Oryzias latipes: one gene and its partners. The protein of the gene in region 2 interacts with the protein of the main gene of each other region in a pairwise test. Links are inferred from orthologs where the notes say so. Each region holds a gene or a part of one and is shown on either strand. Other genes may lie near its edges.

The links.
Region 1: the proteins of fragile X mental retardation syndrome-related protein 1 (region 2) and sytl4 interact in binary tests that used the Homo sapiens proteins (3 or more experiments, as listed by UniProt). The two-hybrid records come from large-scale screens. The link is inferred for Oryzias latipes from reciprocal best matches to the Homo sapiens genes FXR2 and SYTL4.
Region 3: the proteins of fragile X mental retardation syndrome-related protein 1 (region 2) and tbc1d22b interact in binary tests that used the Homo sapiens proteins (3 or more experiments, as listed by UniProt). The link is inferred for Oryzias latipes from reciprocal best matches to the Homo sapiens genes FXR2 and TBC1D22B.

What each region holds. Positions count from the first base shown.
Region 1 is NC_019868.2:10,075,153-10,080,303, reverse strand, and holds the start of sytl4 (synaptotagmin-like protein 4), read right to left. Parts: upstream 3,282-5,151; 5' UTR 2,865-3,281; intron 2,093-2,864; 5' UTR 1,969-2,092; coding exon 1,856-1,968; intron 1-1,855. UniProt on the Homo sapiens protein: Modulates exocytosis of dense-core granules and secretion of hormones in the pancreas and the pituitary. Interacts with vesicles containing negatively charged phospholipids in a Ca(2+)-independent manner.
Region 2 is NC_019876.2:28,852,071-28,857,234, forward strand, and holds the start of fragile X mental retardation syndrome-related protein 1, read left to right. Parts: upstream 1-2,020; 5' UTR 2,021-2,671; coding exon 2,672-2,722; intron 2,723-5,164. UniProt on the Homo sapiens protein: mRNA-binding protein that acts as a regulator of mRNAs translation and/or stability, and which is required for adult hippocampal neurogenesis. Specifically binds to AU-rich elements (AREs) in the 3'-UTR of target mRNAs.
Region 3 is NC_019865.2:4,890,171-4,895,304, forward strand, and holds the start of tbc1d22b (TBC1 domain family member 22B), read right to left. Parts: upstream 3,282-5,134; 5' UTR 3,075-3,281; coding exon 3,019-3,074; intron 1-3,018. UniProt on the Homo sapiens protein: May act as a GTPase-activating protein for Rab family protein(s).

The DNA.
Region 1 (5,151 bases), on a different chromosome or scaffold from region 2:
TGCTCAGCATTTTTGTTGCAGAGCTAATGTTAGGTAGCACCCAGGAGAGTGTGTAAACAGCTCAGTTATAGGTGATGGGAAGGGGGCGGGGGTAACTCTGCATCAATGGTCCCACCCACACCTCTCAGGCAAATTCACAAACGCTTTTACAATGGATCAAAAGATGATCGCAGTGGGTCTTTAAAAATATAAATTCTACTGCTCCAAGACTCACTCAAAGCACATCTAAAAACTTTTATGGGTTTTAAAAAAAGGGCTTCAATGTTTTATTTAATGACAAAAAAGATATTTGAAACCAGAGAAACGATTTCTTAAAAAAATTGAAAAATTTCAAAATATAATCCAGATAAATCCCAGATAGTTTCTACATCTGTAGCCCGGAGGAGAAGCTAAGAAGAAGGCATTTCTAAATTTAAATGTGCTTCTTTCTTCACTCTGGACAAGCCCAGATCCGCTGTGGAGGTGAGTATGTGTGCAGCAGAAGTTACCATGGTGATATACCCTGGTACGACATAGTGAATCATATTGTAGCTGGAAAACTGGGCTGAGATCTGGAGATAGTTTGGTTAAATCCCAGATCCTGATAGTGGTAAAAACCTGGAAGTCTTAAATCTTTGAATAATAAAGCAACAGGTTACTTGAAGAAACACCATACTAACTAAAATGCAGGAGAACCTGCTCAGGAACAATTAATTCAAACAAGCATCAATCATGCCAATGTCTTTAAAAGAATTATCCTAAAATCAGCAAAGAGCTAAAGCCATTTATCCAGGATGAAGAAGACGCTTTCCAAGTACATTTACTACACTTTCTGGCATAGATGAAACAATAAACATGTCAGTGTTATTATTTAAATAAATAACTTCATAAAATCCAAATTCTCTAGGAAATCCAAGAGCTGAAGGGTTAAAAAAAAGTATCTCTTAACACCAAATTGATCTTATTTTTTTACTTTAGAAAAAAGTTTTCAGTTAAAGTTCCCCTCCAATCATCTTTTGATCTATTGTAAAAGTGTTCCCAGAGGTCTTATAATTAATATTATTTATATTTTTAGATAAAACAATCTAAAAAAAAGACTTTTTATAGGACATTTTTTCTGCAGCGCGGCAGTAGTTTATTAGAAATTCACCTCTGAGTTGTGGGTTAGACTCTTGGTGGATAGTAAGCCTTCACTCATTTCCCATCACCTCTTCTGTTCACACTCTCTCCCACTGGCTTACAGCCCTTCACAACCTCAACCTAACTTTACTGGTGCTACGAAAAGACGTTAATGGATATAATTGTCTACAAGTGGATGCACTGGAATGGAGCGGAGGAGAGCTGCAATGACAAGCTCTTTCAAACAGTGTTTGTTCTTCTGCTCCTGAATTACATTGATTTGAATAAAGAAACTTTAATCCTAATTTCCTTCACATATGCCTCCATCATAAGAACAATGCTCCAAGAAAATGTAAAAAAAACAAAAATGAAGATGTTCATTAATCTATTTCCATTAGAGTGGGTCTTCTAATAATTTCTTACACTTGTTTTTCTAACAAAAAAGTGCTTTCAAACGTTTTAAATGTGAGAATTTTTAGTAATAAAAGTTCCATATTTGTTTAGTTTATATCAGTTGTTGTGTGAAAACTTTTTAAAAACTAAACAAAATTGGGTTATATAGAAATTTGATTAATAAGTATTAAATCAAATCGCATCAAATTCAAAATCAAGTCAAAAGTTATCGAAGCGATGTCAAATCAGTTCAGTATTTTTGGCAGTGATGCTCAGTCCTAGTCATGCCTTAAAATATTTACATGTGTTAAATGTTTCAGATTATAGAAACTGTAAAAACGAATAAGAGTTTCTGTTTTCTTACCGTACACGCCGCTCCTCCGTGAGCCTCAGCTCCTCGTCCCGTTTCAGCACTTCCAGGATCTTCTCCCGCTCCAAGTCGGACAAGAAGCTCAGATTGATCATTTCCAGAGCCATGGCGATTTCAATTAGGAACCGTGTGGATAAACTGGTTTAAGGCTAAAGCCGTTCCACTGAGACAAGATCCATGAAGAGGAAGCCACAGTTTGGGAAGACAGCAAAAGCTGAATCTGTGTTTAGCCTTGCAGAACAAACCCAAAAAATATAAAGTCACATATTCAAGTAGACCTCCTTTAAAGGTTAAAATACGTTTGCCAAGAAATTAACATTTTCACATGACATGAGACATAAATCTGCAGCTGTAAAGCAAACTATCAACTATTCCCTGATGGGTGGGAATACAGATCCAGCATGTAGGGGCGTCTAAAAATCCACCAGAGTGCCTCTGACGGGGAGTGAGGTCGTTTAAAGTCAACCATGGTAAAACAACATGAATGTCATGCCTGGTTCCCACCCTCCAGCAGAGAGATGACAGGGTGGAGTTCAGCAGTTTATTTATTTAATCTTCATCTGACAGTGATCATCTGTTATGGTGTCAGTTAAAACTCATATAGATGTATAAACTAATTTACAGTGAATAGGCAAAGACACAGACTGGAAAGGCTTTTTCCTCGTTTTCTGAATGCCTGAGCCTCACTAAAAATAATAATGTACCAGCAGGACAGCAGGAGGAGGAGGGCAACTTACAATTGAACAGGAAATAACACTAAAATTCAAACGAGTTTTTAAAAACACATTATTGAGGCCATATTTTATTTTTCAACTGAAAATGACAAATGTTTGCGAATGGCTACCTTCTAAATAATAATTAGTTTTGATAATAATCACAAATTAAAACAGAATTGATATTTCGACTAATGAAAAAAAAGCATCGTTTGATGTGATTTTCAACGAGTTGCTGAGGCTAAATAGGGTAAACGTCGATAAAACATTTAAAATACTTGATAACCTACGTTGTTCTTCAGGGCGGTCGCTGAAGTGAAGGACCTCTGCGGACTGCCACCGCGTCAATGAGTCCACACTCAGGCTAATTGAGAGGAAACGCACACCTGCGTGCGTGAAGAAGAAGCTCGACGGCTCTGCTTCACCGCGACCGACAGAAACCGCAGCAAACAGCGGCGCACATGCTAATCCTGCACTCAAGTGTCGTGGAGCTACCACAAACTACAGCACAGCGCTCCTCCTCTTCTTCTACAACCATACCCCCTTCCAGCCAGGTTGTCTCCTCGCCTCCGGGAGCAGGGAGTTCGGTGCGCGCGGCGCCGCAGGAGTCCCAACAAGTACCGGAAGATGAAAGGAAAGTTCCCAGCAGCAGGCGGGCGCGAGCGCTTTTCCACGACAGACGCGTTTCCTTAACTGTTGATCAGAGAATGTGGAAAAGTCACGAACACCAGCTTGATTGGTATCACCCCCCCCCCCTTTATGTGTGACCAAACTTGGAAAACTTTTATTTTTAGCTTTAAATGCGTTAACCCAGAGCGAACAAGAGTTTTAAAGTAAAACGTGTTTTTTTTTTCTAAGTCGGAACAGGCCATTCTTGTCGCTCTTTCTTTGGAAGGTGCCATTATTATTTGTTGAGGCGTGTTTGGGGGATTAACGCACCATTAAGTAAACACTGCTCCTTTACAGTTAAAACTCTGCTGCCCCACTTAAAAACCAACTAGTCATTTATTTACTTTTTAGATGTTTTAAATTGTTGTTAGACATCACATAACGCTTGGAAATAAGTGTGTTGAATGGTTGTGATGCTCCTGTGAATCACTTCCCCACTCATTTGTATGTTTTCCATGATTTCACATTAAAAATTAACATGACTGTTCCTGCTAATAGACGCAGCATAATAATGTGGTGCTTTAATTGCTGAGTTTTAAGACCACTAGTCCTTAGCACCTCCTGACAAAGAAAGAAACTCTTTGCTTATTGTACAAAAATACAGTTCTAATTTGGTTTAAATATAGTGTATTTTTCAGGCTACAAATTGTTCTGGAGTACAAGCTGCAGCAGCCAAAAAGTGGACGATAAAGAAGGAACAAAAATTATAAATAAGTCACAGTTCAGGATAAGCTGCTCTTCTTTGAGAAACGTAACAAAATACAGGAACAAGCATGGCCATGTTATTTTGAAATCATAACAGAATAGATTATTTTATTCTGATTACACTCTTCATTATTGTAACATATTGATGTTTATTTAGCTTCGTGAAACATAAAAGGAATCCAGTATATTTGCGCAAAATATAAACAATTATTACCCACTTCAATGAAAATTACATTTTGGGTGTTTTTAAAATTTTCTGGTAGCATTTTTCTCATGATGGAGGATGTAGACCAAAGGTTTGGACTGTACACACAAAGTGTGTCCAAACTTTCGGTCTTCACTCTATATAAAGAAAATTACGCTTAAAATTTGTGATTCTGAGTATTTAAAAAAAAGTTAAATTGTGAATTAGGAGCAGACGAAAAAAATCTTGTTGGAAAAGCTTGTAGCAGTGATGTAGGTAGTTGGCAAATTCCCGGCCCTGCTCCATTCTGATACATCCACTTGTAAATGACTAGATGCATGTACATCTTTGTTTGTGGCTGGATAGCTCCAAATTTGCTCGCCATTTTGGTCACAGCAGTTGGAGGTGTGAGGGGCTGTGACAGAGTGTAAACAGATGGATGATGGGAGTGTGGGAAGGCTCACATTGCACCAACGGTCCAGTCTATAACTTAGAGGTGAATTCCCGATAAAACTCCTGCAGAAACTATGTTCTAGGAAACAGAACTTGTGATTTAGGCAAAAAACGGGATCACCCTAATTAAAAACACTGGGAACGCTTTGAATTTAGATCAAAGGATTATCGGAGTGGGATTTTAAGTTTTTTTTTAACAAGTTAAAAAACATTTGGGTGTTAAAATCCAGATGACCCTAAACATAACCTACAAAGTACACATAAAAGCACACATTAGTAATTCAAAAAGGATACAACACAGCAAAAGTGAAGCAGTAATGTAGAAAAAGGCCCAATAATCGTTTAATAACTGGCTTGATTCCTATGTGAGTGTCAGCATATATAAATATTATTGATCGGTTATCATTAATATAGGTTCTATAGGATAGCTTAGTATTGTGGTTGTTTGATCATAAACAAGGGAAACCACGTGTTTGATACTTTAACTGAATCTAGACTTTGCAGGTAAAACTACATAAATGTTCTGATTAAAACACATATGAGTCTTTACAGAAGCAGTACAAACA
Region 2 (5,164 bases):
AGCACTAGCCGCAAGGATTTAAAGATGCCATTCATAACAATAATAACAATAATCAACGCCTAGTTAGAAGATCACCTCACTCTACGCCACAGCTTTGTTTGTTTACCGTGCACACAGATTACCAAACCGTGCGCAGGGTTTATCAGATTTTTTTTTAACCACCGCCACCTGGGGGGCTCCGTAGTTTGGGAATAAGGGAAGGTTTGCTGCGGTGAATTTCGGAGTGGGACTTTAAAGGCCAAGAGAGGTGCAGACATATGTCTTTGCTCACCTTGGATATTATGACTACAGATGTGTCTGGTAATAAAGGCATCTCAATGGAATTTCTGCAAAGTATTTCTCAAATTATGTTGTTTCCCTTTCGGCTTTTCCCATCAGGGGTCGCCACAGCGAACGAGTCGCATGGTAAACTTGGCAATGTTTTACGCCGGATGCCCTTCCTGACGCAACCCTCTCAAGGCAACCGGGCTTGGGACCGGCACGGAGGTAGAGAAGGGAACAGGGAGCAGCCCGGATTTGAACCTGGGTTTCACGGACGGAAGGCGCCGCAAACCAGTATATACTGTACAGTATTAAATTCTCTGCATTGAAATTGGTAAAGAGACATAACATCTTTGAATCTACTACCTTTAACTGCAAAAGAGCCATTTGGGCCTGTTTCTTACTGATCAATTCCTAGTGGAAACGGCAACGTCTTATTTTACCCTTTCAAATTTGACAGAAGGGCCAGACCAGGAACAGATCTGTGGCTCGTTTTGCTGATCCACCTGATAAGAAAGAAAAAATGAACTGGAAAAACCTGCTTTAATATTGATTGACATCAAATGTATATATTTTAAAACAGGACATTTTGGAATTTCAAAACTGTGATTTATTTTTCTCAATTTACTGCCAGTCTCACTGATGGGTTGATGTCCCTCAGGAAAAAACACAAACTGAGGGGAAAAAAAGCTGTGTTCGTGTGCTGTTAGTACGATCGGACTGTCCTACAAGGAAAACACACATGAACGTCAGAAAAACAACAAATCTTCCAACTTCACCTGAATGCAAAATAACTTTTATGCACCTAAACAAAGGTACATGTATTTGTAGTGCACCATCTTGGGACTCACCAGAAAATAAAACATTAATCTTTCTGGCGAGCCGGATTTAATAGTTTCATGGCTGCATGTGAAACCCTTGGGGTGTAGTTTGCTCACCTCTGCTTTAGGAAAATGTGATAGTATGTATTTATTGTTTATTTAAAAACTAGCATTTTCTCTAGTGTGAAATTGCATTTTTACTATTGACAGAAGCTGCTTTCAAAATAAAAGACGCAAACAGGATCTTCTCAGTGCAGTTCGTGTACTTCCATGAAAGGTTTTTCTCCAAGGAATCTGAGGTCGGCTTCACAAATACTGCAGACAGTGATTCAAACCTAATCTTTAGCCGCAGATCTTCAGAGGAGCAGCACAGACATCAGTAGCAGACATTGCATTAGGGGCCGATACGTGGCGTTTGCGCTATCTGTGCGGTTTCCCCTGCTGGTCCCACAGCTGCCTCCTTGTCCAAATCTGGATATCTTCTCATTCAGCTGCTTCAAATGCCCCAGCATTCTGTTACATTTGTAGTGAATGGGGGAGGGGGGGGGCATCTAGGGGGGATATTAGGAGCATGTTTTATATGCATGAACGTTTTCTTGCAGCTCCAGCATGGTGTATAGTATATATAGTAACCTGTGGTGGTGGTGTTTACACAATAAGTGGGGGTCCTCGCTCATTCATGAGTGGGCTAACCTGGACATGGGAGCCAGTCCATATGAGTAAATGTTTGATTGACACGAACAATCAACCAATGAATGACGTCGGTAGGCAACTGTCTGGATTTCATTGGCCCCTTCGCTGGACCAGCCCTTATTTGCTAAACCAATTAATGGGATCTGGAAGTGATTGTTGACCGTTCTGACCAATCAGAAGGCTAATAGGGGGCAGGACGGGCGGGGCTTCACTGGGAGGGGGCGGGGCCTTTCAGGTCATTCAGTCCCTTTGCGATTCAGTCAATCGGCGTGTTTGCGGGGATTGGTGGCTGCTGTGAGGAGTTGCCGGGCGGTGGTGCTTTGAAAAACGCCTTTGTGAAGAAGAGACGCCGCTGAGAACCACGCCACCGACCGAAGACACGGCCGCCCCGGTGACGACGCGCGCGAGACTGTTCCGCGCGGAGATTACGCCACACGCACGAGCCCTCAAACGCAGCCAGGCTATCTGACTGTAGCATGCTAGCACTCCCGAAAACAGACGCTAGCCTCCAAGCTAATTACCCATCAGTCATCGTCCTCCGGCTCCTTGGGCATCGTTAGCTCGGTTCTGCTGGTGCCGGCGCCTTTGTTGTCGTCGCGAATTCTCCAGAACCGACCCAAAGAGAGCGCTGTTCTCCCCCCTCAGCTGGCAGTGGCAGTAGTAGTCTGCGTCGCCGCGGTTCAGACATCATCCCTGCCATCGGTCCGGACCCGTCACCTCTCTCTGCCCCTTCTTGTCCTCCACCCGGAACACTGGAAGTCCACAAGCGGCCGGATAGCGGCGAGGGGCCGGCGAAGCTGGGGGCGGGAACGTTACCGGACTCGCAGCCGCAGGGAGCCGTTACGCCAACGGACGACAAGCAGCAGCACAGCCGCGCGGACTCACCGGCGACGGGGATGGACGGGCTGGCCGTGGAGGTTCGCGGCTCCAACGGGGCCTTCTACAAGGTAAGCGGGGTTTCTACCGCCCGCCTCAAAGTCCGGCTTGGCCAGAACCGGCTTCGGAGAGCCAGAATAATTGGGGCCCAGCTGAGCCCGAGTCAGTTAGCTGCGGGTTTGGAGCGGTTCGACCGGGTCGGGTTAGCTAGCTTTGGTTAGCGGGGTGAAGCTAGGTCCTCCTACTCGTCGTCTTCACGCGTGGCCCGTTTGGGTCACGTTGGCGGGACAGTTCGGTTGAATTCGGGGTGTTTGGTGGGAGGAAGGCTCGGTCCTGTGAACGGGGTGGGTTTCGATGATCCAGACAGCTGTCGTGAGGTCGGTGAGGTGATGCTCCGTGAAGAAGCGGAGTGACCTCACCGCCACCATCATCATCATCATCATCATCAGTCCTGCTTTGGGCTGCTGATGCCTCACATGAGGAAGGGCGACGGTTTCTGTTTCAGTTCTGGCTGATCTTACTGAGAAACCAAACCTAAGGCTTCCCCCACCCTCTGTGCTTCCACTGAGGGGGGGTTATTATTGTTATTATTCTATTTATTTCAATGGAAACGAGTAGACTCCTCATCTGCTTCCACACATCTGAACCGGTTTGTCCCACAGGCAGACATGGGTCTCCAGTGGTCTGGACTTTGGTAACTCGGGGGTTCCATGTGCTCCATCTACCCCCCTCCCCCTGGGTTCAGTGATGGTCCTAAATTTACTCCTGTGCAGCTTCACCTGTTGTGTGTCTTACTGGTTGTCAGTGCGCCGTTGGCATGAATGACGGTTTTCCACTTTAGCGTGAGGCTCTGACCGCCACAGAACTGCCTCATTATTCGCATTTTAAACAGCAATTAATCCAAGCATTGACCTCCAAACAAAAGGTATTAATCGGAGATGCAACCATTCACTTTCCCCACGTCTCTGTTCGCGTGTTACAAATAGGGCTGTAAGAATATCACTTGTGGTTCCGGTTTATTCTTGATATCTTTTCATTCTGATTCTCTGACCTGAAGTGGATCCAGATCCTCTTGATCCAAACTTCCAGCAGTGAGACTCAGACAGAAATTCCTGCTACTGAACAGTTTTCCAGATTCTTGGATTTCTTCCAGATCATCAAGTTAAATGAAATCTGTGTCCAAACCAACAAGTAAACTAGAATGAATGTCAAATCCATTCACATGTTAGTTTCCTAAACTTCAGCGCTGTTGTGTTTCCACATCCAGAGAATCCAAAGGGAACATTCTAGCACAGGGGTGGGCAAACTCCGGCCCGGGGGGCCACACGTTAAAGGATCTGATCCGGCCCGCCAAACTGGGAAAAGTTAAATTGATCATCCTTACAAAGGTTTTATTTTTCCTGTAATTCATAAATGGTGCTCTGCAGATAAAGTGAGCTTTACTTTGGTGTAGAAAGTAATTCAGCACTCGTGTTGGAAGATCTGTTGTTTTTCAGATGTTTCTGACAATTCCAACCGCACCTGAATGCAGCATTTCTCTAATTTGGCTTATTTCCCCCCTGAGGGACATCAACCCATTGGCTCTAAAATGAGAACAAAATCATCCAAATATGTTGCGTTTTAAAATAAAATCATTTTTTATTAGTTCAAGCATGTTTTCATCCAGATTCCGTGTTATTTCTTTCTCTGACGAGGTGGACGACACGCCACGCATCAGCTGCTGGTCCGGCCCTCGGCGGCCCACGAGTCCCCGCCGTTGTTTAGCTCACTGGATGGTCACATGACTATATTCAAAGTGTTTCCACACGTTGGACTGGAATGATAGACTGATCCGTGTTTGCTGATGTCATCCCATGTGTTGTCAGCGGTGATTGGTCGTTTTCAATCCAAATGGTATTTTCCAATATCAACATAAGCGATTTATTTCAATGATTTTTACGACTTTGATTCGATGAACAACTTTCCTCAGGCGGATCCATCAGGTTGGATCGTAGGAACAGAAATCCGTTCATGGTTTCACCCCCACAAGAGTAAACCAACCTAAATGCTAGAACAGACTGAGCATCAATGAGTGTAGCTTAATGTCAGGATTGAGTTGAGGGTTAAATTCCCTTTTGCCTGCAGTGACTGCAAGGCACCAGGCGTGGCAAACAAAGGACCTCGGTACCGGTGTCATTCCTGAAAACATCTGGAGAACCTTCAGCCATTGTTGTTGTATTTAGTTGTTTTTTTGTAGATTTTCTATAAAATTGACAAAAATAACTACATTTGACTCTGGATAGTTAAATCAACCCCTTTTTCCATTCTTATTTAATTGGTCTGGGACTCTTGCAGCCCTTTGGGTCCACAGTCAGACCCTGTTCTGATTGAATGGGCCTCCACTTGTGTTTGGGAATCTGTCGGTCCTCCACTCCGACACATCCACGCCTTTTCAGTCACTCCTGCAGACGCGGTTCATGCATGACAGCGAGGCCTTTGGTGAAATCTGCAGCTAAACTGTGATGACTCGAGGT
Region 3 (5,134 bases), on a different chromosome or scaffold from region 2:
CTGGGTTTAAGCCAGATCCCCCATTTCCTTTGCTCTGAAAACACTTCAGGAATCTGAAAGGCTTTCACGTTAGTCCCATCAGGAGCACTAAATGACCCTAATTTCTGTGAAAAGAACGGACATAAGAAGTCATGCAGCTGAGAACCCGGGTTTATCTGCGCTGCCAGGGTCGGTCCTTTATCAGCCCTCCACTCGTTTATCAGGAGCGCCTCAAGGACAAGCAGCGAGACTGGCCACCCTCTTGCTCAAGCACACGTTTGTGTTTTGCCTTTCTCCGTTCTCGGCTGTTTTTTAGAGAAAGATCCGTTTGTGTGACAAAGGCAGCCACACCCTCTCCTTATCAGGTTTCCCAAGGAGATCCAGCTCCTCCTTTTCTGTCCTTCACACTGGCAGCCGCAAAACTCATTCCTCAAGTCATAAAATATATAAGAATTTCCCAGCACAAACGTCCCATCGATGAGACCAGACGGGTTCTCAGTTCTTGATGTATACACGAACCATAAGTGTTTTCCTGCTGCTCTTATTGTTGAGCGCCACAACAGCTGGTGAGCAATGTACGCAAGCTGGGACACGTTCAGCGCCAGGCTTTGTGTTTCATCAAATGAAACCGACAGGAGGTCTAAACAGAAATTCATACACCCACAACATGTTTTACAACGTCTGTTCTCTGAAGAGAAATTAGGGGAATTAAGAAAAATCAGCACAACATCATCATGAAGGATGAAAAAATCTGTTCTAAGCAAAGGGTTTTACACCCAGAGGAGACCTTAAATCCATACAAATACAGGATTCCTGAATGTATGCTTCTGAGGACATTTAAAGGCATTGTAGCAACAGTCAAGGGAGATAAAAACAGATTCTTGTTCAATCATAGAGATTAAACACAGAAAAGCATCATGAAAAATTGCAAGTTATCTGAAAGGCAGTGCAACTTATCCATAGAAGATAAACCTTCTGCTGTCCCGGAGCTTTTGTCCGTGTGGACGACAACACATCAACACTGGAATGGTAAACAAAAAGCATTAAGAAAACACCATACAAAAGATGAACAGACCATGAAACCGCGAAACAGCTAACCGGTTCAAACTGTCATGTACGCCGATGGAGCATTTTTCTGCTTCGGGGTCACAGAAGCTGGGAATTTGACACCAGGTTAGTCAATTATTAACTCCTCTGCTCCCGTCAGATGTGAGGCCCTTTGTCACAGACAGCTAAGGTTTGGTCAAAACTGGGATCATGTAACAAAAACAATGTTGTTGTGTCACATGACCCAGCAGGAAAACCCCAACAGAAGAGCGCCAACAGCCTCCCAGATACAAGCCTGAGCTGAACCCAACGACCTGAAGCAAACCTCCTATAACCTCTGCAGAGCATGCAACATGCTGACGTCAACAAACTGTTTGAGCTGGTATTCTAGCACTACAAACAACTCAGTTATTGGCTGTAAATAGTTATTTGACAGATTCCTTAAAAATCAAAATAAGACGAGAAGATGATGGCTTTAGCCAGTAAAGCTTTAGGCAGCTGTGGCTTGGAGGTAGGTACAGAAGTCATTATTTCCCTGCTTTTGAGGTGCCCTTGGGCAAGACACCCAACCCTTAGCCATGCTTGCCGTGGATGTGAGACTGTGGGTTTTGTGTGAGTGACTGGATGACAAACAAAGAGCTTGGTGAGTGACGCCTGCTCTCCACACCTGACCCACATAGTCTGATTCTGATGGTCAAGCTGGGAGGTCTGTGGATTTTTGAACCCACAGTCTCTGCATCTCAGGGTGGCCACTCTACCATTAGCCACTCTGTGTTTTATTGTCTGTTGCTTCTCTTGGCTAAAATACTCTAAGAGATGTCGGCGTTTTTTTTCCGCCTGTTAAACTGATGATAAATAAGACATGGTGAATATTTGCAAATGATTAGTACTTTGTTGAAACATTGCATGTTTCTATTTTTTTCTACTTATAATCTCATCTATGTTAATGTTTTTGTTAGTTGTGTCAGGGTAGTGTGTGTGTGTTTTCTATTTTTTTTTAATGCTTTGTTTGCCTTTAGTTTTTAATTTTGGCAGAGTCTTTTATTTTGTAAAGTACTTTGTGTCACTCTGAAATCTGTTTTGTCAATAAAGTTTGATTTGATTCGGTTAGCCGGCAAAAATCCGTTTTGTGGCTCAGCCACAAGACAATTTCTATTTTACATCTTTTTAACTCACCCTATAATCAAACCCTTAACAACTTAACAAAAGCCTATATTTTTTAGGACTTTAACCCAAAATTTCAGGTTTAAATTAGTTTATTTTACTGTAATTGCCATGTTAATTGAATGGGCGGACGCTAGCACGAAATGCACTTTTATTTACACCTTTTTCAATAGTCAAAATGTATTACTAATGTTGTCAAACTAATCAGACTGATGAACTTTTTACATGTACCAACAACGACGCCGGGTGAGTAATGACTTTAAATTAAGTTTTTCTGTAAACCTCTTTGGCCTCCATCTCTGGACAAAGATGGCGTTCATTACCAGTTCAATCTCTTTAAATATTATTGAAGCAGATAACTTAAAAAAACATTTTATTTTGCTCTACGGTGACGTGATAAGTGGTCAGAGAAGAGACAGTTACTAACTAGGCGGGATGGCACAGAAAAGCCCAGGGAGCATCCTGAGTGAGGAAAATGTAAACATGGAGCACTTTCCCGGCTGTCTGTCAGCCGCGCTCAGTGCAGTCTGGGAAAGCATATGGCGGGTGTGACCGTTGACACCCCCTCCACGAACGGCAGAAACCGCAGAGAGCAGAGATGGAGGGGCTCACATCTCAAAACCCATTCAATCATGGGGGGAAAAATAAAATAAAAACGTCCGAAGGAAAATGTGTAGAATGCGTTTATGAGATTTGTTCCTTTGACAGATCACAGGTTTTAGGTGTTTAATGGCTCATCGAGAGACTTAAACTTTAACAGCATCGGCAGGAAACTCGCTACGCAAACACAGTTTTATTTCAAACTGATATAAAGGTGAGGAAACCAACCTTCCGGGAACCTTTGGGTTTCTCCTCCAGAAATTGATCCTGTTGTCGGTGGCCATACTCGCACCCCCTCCCCTTTGCCTTCAGACCGGCTCCGGGCGCGACGGAACCATGGTTGTTCCGCCTCCGTGTCTCCCAGAAAAAGAAGGACCGCGGGCCCCGTTTAGCTCGCTTCGGAGAGCCGAACGGTCGATGGGCAGAAACGAAAAAGCTGCCGAGGCTACGATGAGGGAAACTGCGTCCTGTACGGCGCCATCTTGGAGAGTAACGTTCGGAGCGCGTGATTGGCGGAAGGAACGAACAGGTGCAGGGAAGGCGACCAATCAGAATGGCCGGCGGGGAAGCGACGGCCAGGGATGCTTGCTGACGAGGGGAACGGCCGAAACTTGATGCTGGTAAAGAAAAGTTTATGTTTTTCTGTTGATTTAAACAAAGATGGCGGTGTTTTGCAACATTTAGTGCTTTTGCTCTGTGAGGGGAGACCTGGAGGGAGTTACTGACTACACAGAGTTAAAGGCCGTGCTTACTTCAGGCTGGTGGGAAATTAGTAAAGTTGTCAAAAGGTTGTTAAATGTAGATATTTGATTTACAGCTGTCCTAAACATAGTTAGAAAAATGAAAGGGTTTAGTGGTGACTAGATGAAAGAAAAATATACAGGACAAGCATCTTACCTTCCTATACTTCCATTGTTTTTTAAATGACTGACTAAAATACCAAAATCCAGGCAGGTCTTGGTTCGTCTCTCTCATTAATTTTGAACGCGGTTCCTAAAAAAGGATTAATTATAAACATCCCAACAAACCAGAGATTTTCCAGGCTGACTTAACATTCCTAGAAGTTTCTTTGTTTCACTTCTTTGTTTAGGAAGCAGTACATTCAATTATTGTTTGTTTGTAATCAAAAATCTAATAGAATCATCACAGATCTGACTTTTTAAACTTAAAAAGCCTAATCTTAGATAATCTAGTATTTGCAGATTAAATGCGCTCTTATCTTTTGCATTATGCCGGGCAATTGTACAGTCAGTTCTGGTGCGTATTTTGTGAAAGGAAATCAAATCAGTTTTCCGGAATACTGTCTGCTTTTCACACGTAAAAGTAATCAATAATGATGAAAAAGTACCAAATTCACTGATAATTCATTTAAAATTTACATTGTAAAGTAAATGTGATAATAGAAACAAGCTTGTTCATTTTATTTCACTTGAATTCAAACATTTCACAAGCTAGATGAAGTCTAAAAAAGTTAAATGCAACTTATAGGAAACATTATATGAGGCAGATAGAGCTGTCTTTCTTAGCATATATAAGAAAAACTGGCTCAGCTAACTTTTGGAGCAGCGTAATACTAATGAGTCATTCAAGCGTCAGTTTCAGGGGACTCTGACATAACAGACCCACATTAGAGCGGATTATCTGCCTGGTTTTGTCTCCACCCAACCTACTACTGTTGGATCCTGTGTAACGTCATCACAAACACCGTTGTAGCTTAGAAACAGGCAGCTGTCACTCATTTCAAAAGAGGAGCAGCATGACTCATTCATAACATGAACACAAGAGTCGCAATCCATGAGACACACATAGAGACTGCTCTGAAATGTAAACGGCTTGAGTCGCATTGTTGCTCCTATAGGCTGCAAAAAGGTTGAGGCTGTGTTCAAAACTCATCTGCTGGTCTTTGATGGGAGCAAAGCTAAAAAGAGCTTCAGCCATTGGTTCAACACAGATGTTTACCTGCCATGTTAATGAAAGGCAAAGTGGATTCATGATCACAGCAGAAAAATCAAAACATTTCCTCTTTAAAGTCATCACTTCTGTTTTTTTCTTTTTTTAATCTAATGCTGAGTAAGGCTCCTGTTTCAGTTACACCTTCTGTCCACACGGGGTCAGATCAGGCCTCAAGTCAAAAGGAAACCAGTTCAACAACCATCTATTTACAGTAAACGTCAGAATGAGTCACTTTTCTTTTCAGCACATGTTTTTTTCACAACAGTTCTACAGCACCAAGAACACACACACACACACACGTTATTTATGATCCTTTATGGTTAAAAATTAAGCAAATTCCTCCATTTTTCTTTTTATCTTTGTTCAAATGAACCAAGTAGCTTCTAATGAG